Linked DNA regions of Caenorhabditis elegans. The protein of the gene in region 1 interacts with the protein of each later gene in a pairwise test. Each region holds a gene or a part of one and is shown in the gene's direction. Other genes may lie near its edges.

Region 1 (4,521 bases):
ATCTGCCAAGCTTGGCTCGAATCTAAGACTTGTTCTTTCGCAGACAACTGCCGGTTTGCACATGGAGAGGAGGAACTTCGTCCAACATTGTAAGAATGAAGCAAACAAATTATGTTAATTCCAATTTTTAGCGTCGAGCCGCTGCAGAACAATAAGTATAAAACGAAACTCTGTGACAAATATACGACTACAGGACTCTGCCCATACGGGAAACGGTGCCTTTTCATTCATCCCGATCATGGACCAAACGCATACATTCGCGCTGATAAACTTCTTGAAGTCAGAAGAAAACATGTATTTTTGCTCACTGTAAACATTTTCAGGTTTCTCAACGCCATGCATTGGCTGACATTCGTGATCAAATGGAGCAGCACATCATGACTAATGGTCGCATTGCAGCTCCCCCGCTTTCTGCCATTCAGCATCCTTTAGAAATGTTTGCCAGGCCATCAACTCCAGATGAGCCAGCGGCTAAATTGCCACTAGGACCAACTCCTGTTAGTACTCGTGGTCCAAGATATGAGCTACCAACGAAGGAATTGCATGACGCGGAAGGTAAAAATTGGCAGCTAGTTGCAATTAATGACCTCTGTTTTAGGTGCGATGACCTATCCACCGTCTCGCTGGCCATTGGATCCATCGATGTTTGCTCTAGACGCTTGGAATATGGCACATCGGCCAGCTAGTCCACTCGATTCGATGGTTTTGGGTTCCGCTCCAAATGCTGGCTCGTTCGGAATGCTCGGAAAGCAAAATACTCCTGGAGGAGTTTCTGGATATTCATCTGCTGGATCCACGCCTTCTCAGGATCTCAGTTCTTCGTCACTCAATGCAGCATCCGCAGCTGCCGCTGCTGCATATTTCGCAAATTCTGCTGTTGCTCAATCTCTTCTGATGAAATCTGTCGCAACTGATCCAATGATGTCATGTAACGGACCATTCTCTCCAATGCCAGGATTCGATCAATTGGCCGAAAATATGACCAAGCATCTCAATTTGTGGTGAACAACTTCTCTACATTTGTCAAATTTTTAAACACTTTCAATATTCGTGTCCCCCATACTAACTAATAATGCGTGCATTTGTGAATATAATAAGTTTTAGTCGACGTGTTCTTGTCCCATAGAAACTTGGCCCAATCGTCAAAAGCGCCCATTCCCATTTTAAATTCTCGAAATTAATATCGAATCTTGTGATGTATATTGTAATTCATCGAATCATTGAATGTATTCCAATTTTCACCGCTCGAGTTCCCGATTGCCTTCTGTCTCACTAATCCCTTCCCCAATCTCAAAATAAATTGCACCTGCCACGGATCATAATTGTGATTCTTTTTTTCTATCTTTCTTTCTTCTCAATGGCTCCGATACTGCCCGTACGTATTTTTCTTTCGTTTCTTTGTTCATTTAAAATTTTTATCCGAAATTTCCTTCTTGATCCTCATTGCAGGATGTAGTAAATTTTTTTGATCGATTCAATTTTCAAATTTATTGAAAATCAGGTTATATGTTCCAACACGAAAACTATCTAAGTACGTACCATGAAAAAGCAAAATAATATTGCAATTCAAGTTAGCTTTGTTCTCAATATGAGAACATTACGGTTTTAAAGACTTTATATGCATGCATGTTAATTAGTTTTTTCCCAACCGTTTAACCGATAATAATACATTTATTTTTTTAAATTTTAAGCTTCGCGTTCTTGACTAGGTCATAAATTGTCGATATTTATAAAACTGTTAATTGTGGGTAAGCTTGATCAATCACTTGATTAAATCAAAAGTGTCTAGGCTCTATTCAAAATATGCGCCAGTCAACACTATTTGCGCATTTTCAGTGCGTTTGCGCTTATTCTGTTGAACACTTGCTTTACAAACTCGCCCTGCCTTTTGTTGTTCTACTAAACAAGCTCTCTTTGCCGTTAATCTTCAATTTTTTCAGTTAAAATATGAGCGAAGAGCCGGCTGCAAAGCGAATGAAAAATGCCGATGAGTTCCCAAATCTCCGATCCGAAGTAGCTGGTCCCGTGAAGGAAAAGCTAATCGAACTAGACGCCATTCAGCACCAACTAGATGTGATGAGTGAAAACGCTGCCGAAGAAGTTTTGAAAGTCGAGCAGATTTTCAATCAGAAACGTCTTCCGATTTATGAAAAAAGAAAGAAGCTGACAACAAAAATCGACAATTTCTGGCAGACTGCTTTTCTCAATCATCATCTTCTTTCAACTGCTATTCCGGAAGAACAAGAGGACTTGTTAGCCGCTCTGCGAGATCTTGAAGTGCAAGAATTTGAAGATCTTCGCAGTGGATTCAAAATAATTATGACATTTGACCCGAATGAGTACTTCACAAACGAAGTAATTACAAAGTCGTATCATCTGCAATCTGAGTCACCGAGCACCGAAATTACCGAAATCGAGTGGAAGGAGAACAAGAAACCGCCATTCGTGAGTTTATCTTTATAATCCCTATTGTTTTAATCGAATTTTTTCTAAAACTTTCGCAATGTAACTCTTCCAGAAGCCGGAAGACGGAGATTCAGCTCACACGTTTCTTGAATGGCTCACGTACGCAGCACTACCAGACAGTGATGAGATTGCTGAAGTGATCAAAGACGATCTGTACGTCAATCCTTTGCAGTACTACGTGATGCCCGACATGCAGGAAGTTGAAGAAGACGATATCGAAGACTTTCTGAATGAGGAGCGCGGTGTAGATGAGGTATTAGAAACACCATTATGAGGCTACTGGATTTTTGAACAATTTTCAGAATGGACAAAGGATTCCTCGTCGGAACATAAGTGATTCACTGAAGGTTGATCAAGATGAAAGTGCGGATGGGCAAGAAGGAGAGGATGAAGAAGAGGAAGATATGGGAGAAGAAGAAGAAGATGGTGTTGAAGAAGAAGCGGAGGGTGAAGAAGAAGAAGAGGATGGAGCAATTGAAGAAGAAGGTGGTGATGAGAATGTTGAAGCACACGTTGCAGTCAACCCCGAGAACACTGCAGAGTAGCTTGTGAAGCTGAAATTTGTTGCATACTAATTTATTATTCCCACCGTGTGTTATAATTGTCATTTTTATCATTTATCAATCGATCCCGTTTTTGTAAGTATTTATTCACTGCCGAGTATTTTTGCGGCTCTATCTTCAGCTTGATTGTATTCCTATATGTTTTTGACATGATTCCAAGTATATTCGAATCAAATGAAAGATCTGCATTGAATACCGTCTAAGAGTCCTACAAAACAAATGGTAATTGGCCGCGAAGTTTCCTTTTCACGTAGTTCTTGAACAGTTCAATCTACTAACTTGCTCATTCGCCTCTTTTCAGATGTTGCTCACATGTCGTTTCACAGCAGCAACTTCTAGATTATCGGCGTGTACTCGGTCCTTTAGCATTGATTTTTCTCATGAAAAACCAGCACCTCACCAATTGGAGCATGTGACGACCCGTCTCACTGAAACTGTAAATTAAAAGTTTTTTGTGGGTTAACTGAAACAACTTGAAGGTTCCGCTCATGTTCCGCCGACGAATGGATTATACTTTTTATCGAAAAGACGTTGTTTGTGATGATCAAATTTTCTCAGTTGAAAAGCGAGGAATTGAACAGCTGATGAGCCATTTTGGAATGATTGGAACATTGGGACAGGTTTATCCAACCTTTTTTTTAGAACAATGTTTTTGAAAAGAAAATTGGCCAAGTCTTCGTTATCCAAGATTCAAAATCTTTTAGGTCTTCTTGCCACACGTGGAAATGGAAATGTTATCAGTAGCTCCAGTCATTGACGAAGGAACGGTTCGTTGTAGATGGAGAGTCAAATATGTGTCATTTACTCGAATTATTATGAATCCACGCCTTCTTCGATTTGATTATCGAATGCAAAATTTGAGTTGGTTTGATGGATACTCCGTTTTAACGGTCGATGGAAACGGAGAAGTTTATAAAGTGACATTGCAAAAAGTATTTGTTTCGAGATGTTCTTTAAAAATACATGTTATTTCAGATGCAACAAGACGAACAGAAAAGTCTGCTAACTTCGACTACCGAGAAGCTCAAAGAAAAATTGGCTCCTTCTGCTGCCAACAATTGATCTTTTGTGTCGGCATTAATTTTAGATTTTTACTCTATAAGACTAACATATAGATCTCGGTTTCAGTTACGATTGTAATCCTGTATCAGCTGCCACTATTTGTTTTTATTGTTTTTTTTTTACTTTTCAACAGTTTTTTCTTCCTTTTCGCCGAATGTTATGAATAAACATTGTCATGGGTTTATAATAATAATTTATAAACTTCGATGTTCCGTTTCGAGATAAATTTATTTCGCAACATGTGTTAAAATCAATTACATCGTAGAAGTTTCCAGCAAAATTCTTTAATTCTGATCAGGTGCAAAAAAGCAAACGCGCTCCAATCGAAAAACGTTTTTCTCTGTTCTCTCTATGTATTGTAAACACTCTCGCCGTTCTTGCATACTTGAATCAGTTTGGAGCATTCCATTTTTGTCATGAGCAAAATTTT
Region 2 (8,835 bases), on another chromosome or scaffold:
TTCGACAAATGTTGTTCCCCTCCCGAAAGCAACAATGTGATAGGCAACGACTCCTTCTCCCATTTTTATGTGTGTCTGTGCGTGCGTAGTTGTGTTTTCTGAGATTCAATTTCAACAAACCACGCACTTTTTCATCATCATTGACAAGAATATGTTATAAAACACTGTGATTGAGGAATAAATTATTGAGTGCTGTTACACATTTTCTTTAGAGTTTTAAACTCTAAAAATGGCCACCAGAGGCGCCTCGAGCTTAATTTTTTACTTAAAAATTAAGAAAAAATGGGCAAAATACTTGCAAAAAACGTTCTGCAGCATTTTATATAGTTTTCTGAGAAATTGCTTGAACGGTAACAATGAGCTTTAAAGTTCTCATATTTACCACGGTTGTACGATTTAACAAAAATCTCCATACACTTGGTGTCAGGTCTGGACAGTTCTGTTGCCACTTTGCTAAACAAGACAACTGTTTTCATTGAATTTCATTCCTACAAATACGACAGTAAAGTTTATATTTCCCTGTTCTCTAGAACATGACATTAGAAACCATTCCCAACAATCGTTTGAAAAAGTTGCATTAGCAAGGAGAAGAATTTAATGTAAAGAGACAAGTAGATAAGGATCTTAAGTTGTTCGTTTAGTTCGTTTTTTCGGTGAATGATAGAATGAATACAAAAAGGTATTGAACTGTTCCGAAAAACTATTAGGAACTTCCCGAAATTAAGTTTTGAAAATAATCACAACTGATTTAACCATTTGGATTATCCAGTTGTTGAACCACATAATCACTTTTCTACTTGAAATCGTTGCCATGTTGCAAATCTAGATTGAGATTTAAATCTTCATTGGCTCCAGATTCTTGCCTCAAAAGATGTTTTGGAGAATGTTTGGTTCTTACCAAAAATTTTTGATTATGTACTAAAATGTAAAAAATGATTTTGATTTCCTATGATTTCCTATGACCTTTCAGTGTTTATTCTCAATTCGGATTGTTTAGCAAAAAAAAATTAGTTCCGGACAAGTCTGACACAAAACAATTTTATCACTGATCTGAAATTTGTCTCAACTTCTAATTGTAAGAAAAAGCTTGTGCGGTACATATTTGACTCCTGAGTAATATGGTTATACAGTTTTTGTTACTATCTTCCGAAAAACATCCCCCGCCGCACTATACATTCGGATACATGCGGCGACTTCATGAAAGCCCTAGTCTAATTGCGTTTTAATAAGAATTTATCCGGATGATCACTGTTTTATAAAGATTGCCAACTAAATTGATATTTTTTATAATTTTCACAAATAAGCGTACTGTATCAGCTCTAATTTGCCTCAAGAACTTGCACCACTATAAAAAATGAATTTCTCATGCGTCTAGAGCTCAAATTACGTTTCACTCATTCAGCCATGATTATATCAATGCAGATGTAGGCTACACGTTTAGTAGCTTCAGAGCAGCAGCAAGTCTATAAATACCCAAAAAAAATTGGAAAGCCTCTGAATCATTGTGTGTGTGTGAGTGAGCAAAAGTTCAGCTACAAAAATGGATTTTGATCTCTTGTTTTATGGCTTCAATTATCAACATTTTCAAATTTTAAATTATTTTTTCCCGAAATTTAAATTTTTCTGACTTTGAATTTTTGACTTTTTGGCGATTAAATGAAGCCATTTTTCGAAATATTTTTTTCTTGGCGAGAGAAAATAATTATATAGAGGAATGGTATAAAAAGTTCCAAATTTAAAGGGGGAGCTGGATGTTTTTCAAGAGAAAAGAGTACAGTAAGATTTTAATGAAAAATTTCTTTTCAGCTGGAGAAACTTAAAATTTTCTAAAAAACGGCACATTGCCGGAATTGAAAATTCCCGGCAAATCGGCAAATTGATTTTTGGAAATTTCTGAATTTCTACTTCAATTGGCAAAATTGAACGCGTCCTACAAATGTTCCTACATCTATTTTGAAAAGTAAGCAAATTCTATGAAAATATTGAAGAAAACGGGAAAAAATTTCAAAAAGGCAATCAAGTGTTTCCGTCTTATAAAAATTCCTCTAAACATTTCCGGCAAAGCTGATATTCGACGAAAGGCAATTTGGGAATACGCCAAAAATGAAAATTTCCGATAAATCGGCGAACCGCCAATTTGCCGATTTGCCGGATTTGTTGACAAAAAAATTGTCGAACGGCAATTGCCACCCACCGCCCACTGGCACTAATTTCAAATACTTTTCATAGCAAAATCCACCACAGGGACATTTCATAGTCAAAACAATAATTAAAATTAAAATTAAATGTTTTTTTTAAATTTTACTCTGACTGAAATTGATGACGAGAAGGTAAATATTCAAATTTCTCGTATAAGACAAACTTCTCCACAAAATCTATTTTCAGGTTACAAATCAATTAGAAAAAAATCCATTCATGCCGATTTTCTCATTCCTTTCCTCCTTTTTCTTTTCCTCCTTCATTCAATAGCAATAGCAATAAACTAAGTTTGTCTCAAGGTGGAATGTCCTGTAATGTAATGAACAGAAGAACTCCTATTCAGTTCTTCGTCTTCGTCTTCACCTGTCTTCAAGATCCTAATCTGCGAAATGATGGCAACCACATTTCACCATTCAGTTGCGAATTTCTTTCATCTGAATGTGAAGAGTTTCGTGTGTCTTCTTGAACCATTCGAATGAATTCGCTGGCAGCAATGCAGGAACTCAGCCAACTTGGCGGATATTTTCAAAAACTTGCTGCAGGTATTTGAAAATTTCAAACCGTTAAAAAATGAGCCCTTTTGATTCCGTGACAATTTCTGACGTTTTAAGCTAGACTTTTTTGAAAGAAATTTTTTTAAATAAACTTTAGAATATCTAACTGATTCTGACTCCAATTCAAAATAAAGAAGAGAGATTTTTCTTTGATATAGAACTACATTTTTCGCGTCAAAAAGTTTTTGACTTTTTTTTCTCGTTTTAAGAAACTTGTTATAACCTGAAACATGAATTTGAGTAGCGGACGCCTTGGGACGATCTTTTAAAACATACTAATTTTCTAATTTTCTTTGTGGATTATGTAAGTAAGCGTTGTAGAGTAAGTTACTCCTTTAAAGTAACAAACTATTGTATTATCTCAATAGTCTTGCAGCATCTATTGCTCTCACACCGCATTAGAGCATACAAGTCATTCGAAAATCATTTTTACGTGCAAGGAGATACTGTGCAATTCTTTCCGGCAAGTCGGCAAATTGCCGGAATTGAAATTTCCGGCAAATCGGTAAATTGCCGGGATTGAAAATTTCCGGCAAATCGTGCAAACCGGCTATTTTCCGATTTGCCGAATTTTTCCGAAAAAACGGCAATTGCCGTAAATGTTCGGCAAATTATAGCTTTGCACATTGTTTTTGGAAGTTGCCGGAATTGAAAATTAAAAAACAAAAAAATTTGCCGAACGGCACTTGCTGCTCTCCCCTGATACGTATGTATATCAATTTTTCATTGCTCTCTAAAAAGTGATGTCATTTTCTTGAAGATATTTTTCCCAGAAAGCTCGGAATCAATAATCGAAGCTGACTTTAAACTTAATTTCAAATGAAATTGTGACGTAGAAATTCTGGAACAATAGGGTTGATCACCATTACGAAATAGACTAGGTATGTCATCAATAAGTACGTCAGTTCTTTTTTTGCCTATTTATTCCCCACATGAGCGTCATCTAATACATGCTTACTCTATCAAAAACGAAAAATCGGTAAATATTTATGTGTAGGAGCACTTAGAAATATTAGAAAATCACCCGTACATTACCTGTGTGAGGATTTTCGGATGGTAATCCGGATTTGTCGGTGGGATAACGGGGTTGTGCCAGAGAAAAATGAGGATACCTTATTTTCGCGCTCACTTCAATTCCTATTCCATTTCACATCAACATCAAACATACAAATTCTACCTATTGCTTACAACTATTATCAGTATTTGATTATATGGATATCGATGAAAGAGGTTGATGTACACATGGTCTAATAACGCATGTTGTTTCAGATTTGAGAGTTGTAGTGATAGTTTAAGCGGCGAAACTAAACTTATCGCCATTTTTTTGGAATTTTTTTGAAAAACAATTTCAATGTTTTAGAGGTGTTTACTATATTAGGCAGATAAGCAATTCGGTTAGTTAAAAATTTTTTGGTAGGATTGAGTGAAAACTCTTAAAATTGCCGAAAAAGTAGTATTTGGGTTATTAAGATGCATCAACAGCGATTAGAGCTTGCAGAATATTTGAAGATGGAGTAGCACCAGTGGGGGAAGTGTTAAAAAGTACTCATAGGTGCCAAAATGACAGAATATCATAATAAAAAAAAAACTTTTCAAAAATTTTTTGAAATTTTTTTATTTACTGTCAAAAAGTGACAATTACTCAGTTTTTGCCACTCATAATTTTGGAAGTCGACCAAAAAATTTTTTTTCCTACTTTTTTATACTGCAATTTTGTTTTTATTATTTTTATTAAAACATTGTAGGGGTCGGAACATGCGACATTGCTTTGGATCTCCTTAAAAGCTCTTTTTTTTTTTGGCACTTTGCAAAAATTTGTCCGGAAATTATAAAAAATCTAAAACTTTTTGGAATGTATTATTATTATATTAAGTCGTTCTGGATCATTATAAATGTATTTAGACAAAATCCCCAATGGCGCTACTTCACCTTTAAGCTGAGCCATAAAATGTAGTATGCCAAGCGTTTCCAAAAAGAACAGAAAGAGTGTAAAATTAAAAATTCCAGGCGGATTCGTGATCAACCCATCTTCTTCTTCTTCCTCATCGAACAATTCCTCATCTAACACTTCTTCGTCCAATTTTCTATCTCCATATGAGTATCAAGAATCCTCGACCTCACCACGTGACACTACAGATTCATCTGGTGAATCCTCGTTGTCCTCTTCTGGCTCTTCATCTTCACTGAATGGTTCTTGTAATGTTGCAGCCAAGTTGATCAAGTTCCGCGGGCATAACGTCGCCGCTTTTGACATAAACGGCAAAGAAATGATTTGTTTGCCTCAGGTATGAGCTTTTTTTGTGAAAACGAAATAGTCTAGAAGACATGAGAAGTTTAGGTGTACGAGGTATTTCTCAAAAATATGGTAGGAGGACTTCATACGGTATACACTAAACTCAAACGGTTGTACATTCATCCGATGGTTTGCAATGTAGAACAGGTAAAAATTCTTGTCCACTAACAAATTTTAGAATAATTTGAAAATTCACCTGACTGACAATATTCTAAACCAATTAAATAACCCGTAAAAGAATCTGATGTTTAATCTCTTTTTTAAAGAAAATAAAAATCTCTCATAATCCGCATGCAAATACGGATATTTTATCGTTATCCTTCTATAAAATCTCCACCATCCACGACTTTTAGGTGCGCGCCCTTCGATCACTTGGAGCTATCCAGCCGGGTGTCAACCGATGTAAACTACTCAAGACTTCGGATTTCGAGAAACTCTATGACGATTGTACAAGCACTTGGTGGGCGTTTTTACTTTTTGGGATCATCAGGTGATGAAAGTGTCATATTTCCAAAGTAGCATCAAACTTGGCTTGGAAATTTTGATTTCTGATAACTCTGTCAAGTCAGGCGAATGCTATTACGCTATTACTATGCGCTTAGCTTCATAAGATAGAGGTTTTTTCACTTCCTATTTTCCAAGCTACAGAAGAAACTACGACAAGTTATTTTACTTTGAAAAAAATGGATTTTCCAGTTGGTAGAAGATTGGTTTTTTATGAAGAGTATGATATGGAGAGTTTTAAACCTCCTACCGAAGAAACAACTTCTGACAGGTGATTTCTAAGGTGTTTCACGAGAATTGTTTCCTTATCACTTACATTAGGGATCCCAGCTGAAATGCGGGCCTCACGTCGACGCCGCTGTGTGTGCACAACGGTGTGCGAAAAGCTAATTATTTGGAAGCGGCCGACACATTCGGGGTTCAGCGCGGCACTATACATTCGGATAAATGAGGCGTGATTGACGCCGTGAGGCTGGCGCAGGCGACGTGGCGGCGACCTCATGGGAGCCAGAGGTGGGCAGATATTTTTTCGGATATTTTCTAATAATGAATTTATCAATTAATATTGATGTAGTTATTCTGGAAGAAATGTATCCGAACCAAAGAGTGGGGGGGGGGGGGGGGCCTATTAAGCAACATTTTAATATGATAAAACCTAGAAAAATTCTACAAGTTTTCCTTACCGAGACCTTAAAACTTATTAGCCGAGCAACATCGGATATCGGATATTACGGATATCGGATAATGGACTTGCATATCGTTTATACAGAAAACTTGTAGAATTTTCCTAGGTTTTATCATATTAAAATGTTGCTTAATAGTTACTCTTTTGTTCGGATACATTTCTTCCAGAATAACTACATCAATACTTATTGATAAATTCATTATTAGAAAATATCCGAAAAAAATATCCGCCCACCTCTGATGGGAGCCCTATTGCAAAAAGCGTCCCTCCTGGATGAAGATTTACCAAGGTTAACCCGGTTTTCGTAGAAGTTTAGCATAAAGGATCAAACTTTAAATGATTGACTGCTACTGTTGAGTACGTAGTTTTGGGAAAAAATAGCTCTAGTAAATATATTAGCAAATCATTAGAGCATTAGTTCAGAGATTCAATAGGCACTAATAGTTGAAATTAATGTCCCGAAAACATTGCTCCTGAATTTCAAAAAAATCATTAAATTTAAGAAGTACATCTAAATATTACTAATCCTTCGCTTTCAGTACCCGCCCTGGGCGCCCATCAAAAAGAAGCTTTGATGATTGGAATAACGGCGCAGTAATAATTAAGAAAGATAAAACGGATTCAGGTAAACTTTTCACAGATATACTCGATTAATTCAATTTTTTAGAGCCTGTGAATGGGCCCGTATTCAACCAACTAATGCAACCGCAAATGACGCCTCAACAAATTTTGATGCAACACTTTGTTGCGCTTTCTCAGAAGACGAAAAATAGTTTTGAGAGGTTAGTCGAGTCATTTTCTATTGTTCATAACTTCAGCAATGTTTAGAGCAGATGATGATGATCAAAATCAGAGAGACGCTGATGATATAACGCCATTGAATCTAAGTAAAAGTGGAGGAAATTCTGAGAATGACTCAGATTCTTTAGAAAATATGAGAAAAGAAGATGTGAGGCACACATTTATAGTTTGTTTGCATCCAACCTTAAACATTTTAGTCCTCACCAAACACGTCTGTTAGTGATCGTGGTGGCTCCAACTCAAATTCATTGTCAATGTCAATGGAGGCTGGGAGTAGTAGTAGTAGTGGCAAAAACGATGAAGCTTCTATGATGAATAAAGTAATGTCCTTAATTGAACTTGCTAGCCAACAGTTCAAGCATGAAAGAGAAGAGCTATGGAAAGAGCGAAGTGAGTTTTGGACTATATTCTTCTTGAATAACACATGGTTCATTGCAAGGGTCCTACATTTCCAAACATTTTAAAACTATTCTTGTCACTTATTTCTCAAGACCTGATAACTGTAAAGTATTTTTACTAATCCTACTTTTTTGATCTCCAATGCCTTCCATGACTAATCGTGAATAAGGTTTCAGACAAATCTCTCTTTTTCTGAAATTCCACTCTTTTGAAATGTATTTCAAGTCTAATCCGGTATTTTACTTATTAAGGGAAGCCAAATGAAACCAATATTATTTTGAAACATTTTAATGAATGATATCAGTTTTTTCTTACAATAAGTGAATATGTTTTGAACGGATAGGGCGAATTTTTGATTGATATAACAACAAAAAAAAACTACGTAGCAAAAATAATTCAAAAAATAAGTTTTCAGGCGAAATACAAGTTCTTCGAGAGAGTTTTCACAAGATTGTGCAAGAAGAACGCGATTTGCGCAAAAAGCTCGAAACTCAGAACAAGAAATGCACGGCTTTCGAAAAACGCTACAAATATGTCAAAAAACAACTATTGCTGGCGAATGCGGACCTGAGAAGATATAAGGAAAAGGAGGAGCAGTCTTCGGACGGAAATTCTGTGGAACTTTGAAGCTTTTTTTTTGAAATCAATTCAATTTTTTTCAGAATTACGAACTAAGTATTTTTGTGTAGAAAAAAGCACTAAATAAACTGTCATATGAAATTGCGATTTTGTTGACAAAAAATGGAAGACAATAGAAATTACATTTTCGCGTATTCCGATTCTTTCATCTTCCGATTCCAACCGTTTTTCGTAAGACTCCCATGAGGTCGCCGCAACGGCACCCGCGCCAGCCTGAATTTTTTAAGCATATTTTTCAACAACCAGGAGGATTTTTTCAGCAACCAGGAGGACTCCACAGTGGTAAACTTCTTTCGAGATTTTTAAAAGATCCAGAAATCAAAATTTTGATTTTTTGCGGGCATGAGATGATGGATTATCCTCCCCCAGCCTCCCCACATATTGAATGATCGGAATCTGCGGGGCGCTTCACTGACTGACACAGGAAATAATTCATCATATTTGTTGTGTTGGGATAAGCATTGACAAGATGGATCACAAGTGGCGAACTTTGGTTTTTTAAGACGGCTGATGGGATATCTAGAGTGCGTCGGAAAGTTAACAGTGTATGTTTGACTATTGTTGCTCCCCTGCAACAATAACACTGATTTTCCGCACTTTCAGAATGAATCTGGTCAAAATTTGAATGCATCAAAATTCGACTATTACTGATTACCTCTAAAGTGTTAAAATTCGTTGAATTTTTTTCTGAAAACCAAATATGATTTATTTTGACTACTTGAAAGCGATAAGAATTGGCTTGTGTAATTCGTATATGAACC

Evidence for each region. The genes of interacting proteins can lie anywhere in the genome.
Region 2: the proteins of spr-2 (region 1) and dac-1 interact in a two-hybrid assay, tested with the Caenorhabditis elegans proteins (2 studies listed by BioGRID).

Annotation. Positions count from the first base shown.
Region 1 is NC_003282.8:8,889,528-8,894,048, forward strand, and holds spr-2 (Suppressor of presenilin-2), read left to right. Parts: upstream 1-1,934; 5' UTR 1,935-1,947; coding exon 1,948-2,445; intron 2,446-2,518; coding exon 2,519-2,719; intron 2,720-2,768; coding exon 2,769-3,011; 3' UTR 3,012-3,216; downstream 3,217-4,521. Other genes in the region: CCCH-type zinc finger protein oma-1, read left to right, coding at 1-89, 132-279, 324-555, 599-1,005; C27B7.2 (Phospholipid scramblase), read left to right, coding at 3,331-3,465, 3,509-3,649, 3,734-3,961, 4,005-4,091.
Region 2 is NC_003281.10:813,579-822,413, forward strand, and holds dac-1 (Dachshund homolog dac-1), read left to right. Parts: upstream 1-2,566; 5' UTR 2,567-2,692; coding exon 2,693-2,741; intron 2,742-3,891; exon of another isoform or gene 3,892-3,983; intron 3,984-4,760; coding exon 4,761-5,038; intron 5,039-5,091; coding exon 5,092-5,193; intron 5,194-5,399; coding exon 5,400-5,506; intron 5,507-6,774; coding exon 6,775-6,860; intron 6,861-6,902; coding exon 6,903-7,017; intron 7,018-7,063; coding exon 7,064-7,184; intron 7,185-7,233; coding exon 7,234-7,426; intron 7,427-7,470; exon of another isoform or gene 7,471-7,491; intron 7,492-7,850; coding exon 7,851-8,062; 3' UTR 8,063-8,152; downstream 8,153-8,835. UniProt on the Caenorhabditis elegans protein: Transcription factor. Plays a role in the thermotactic response.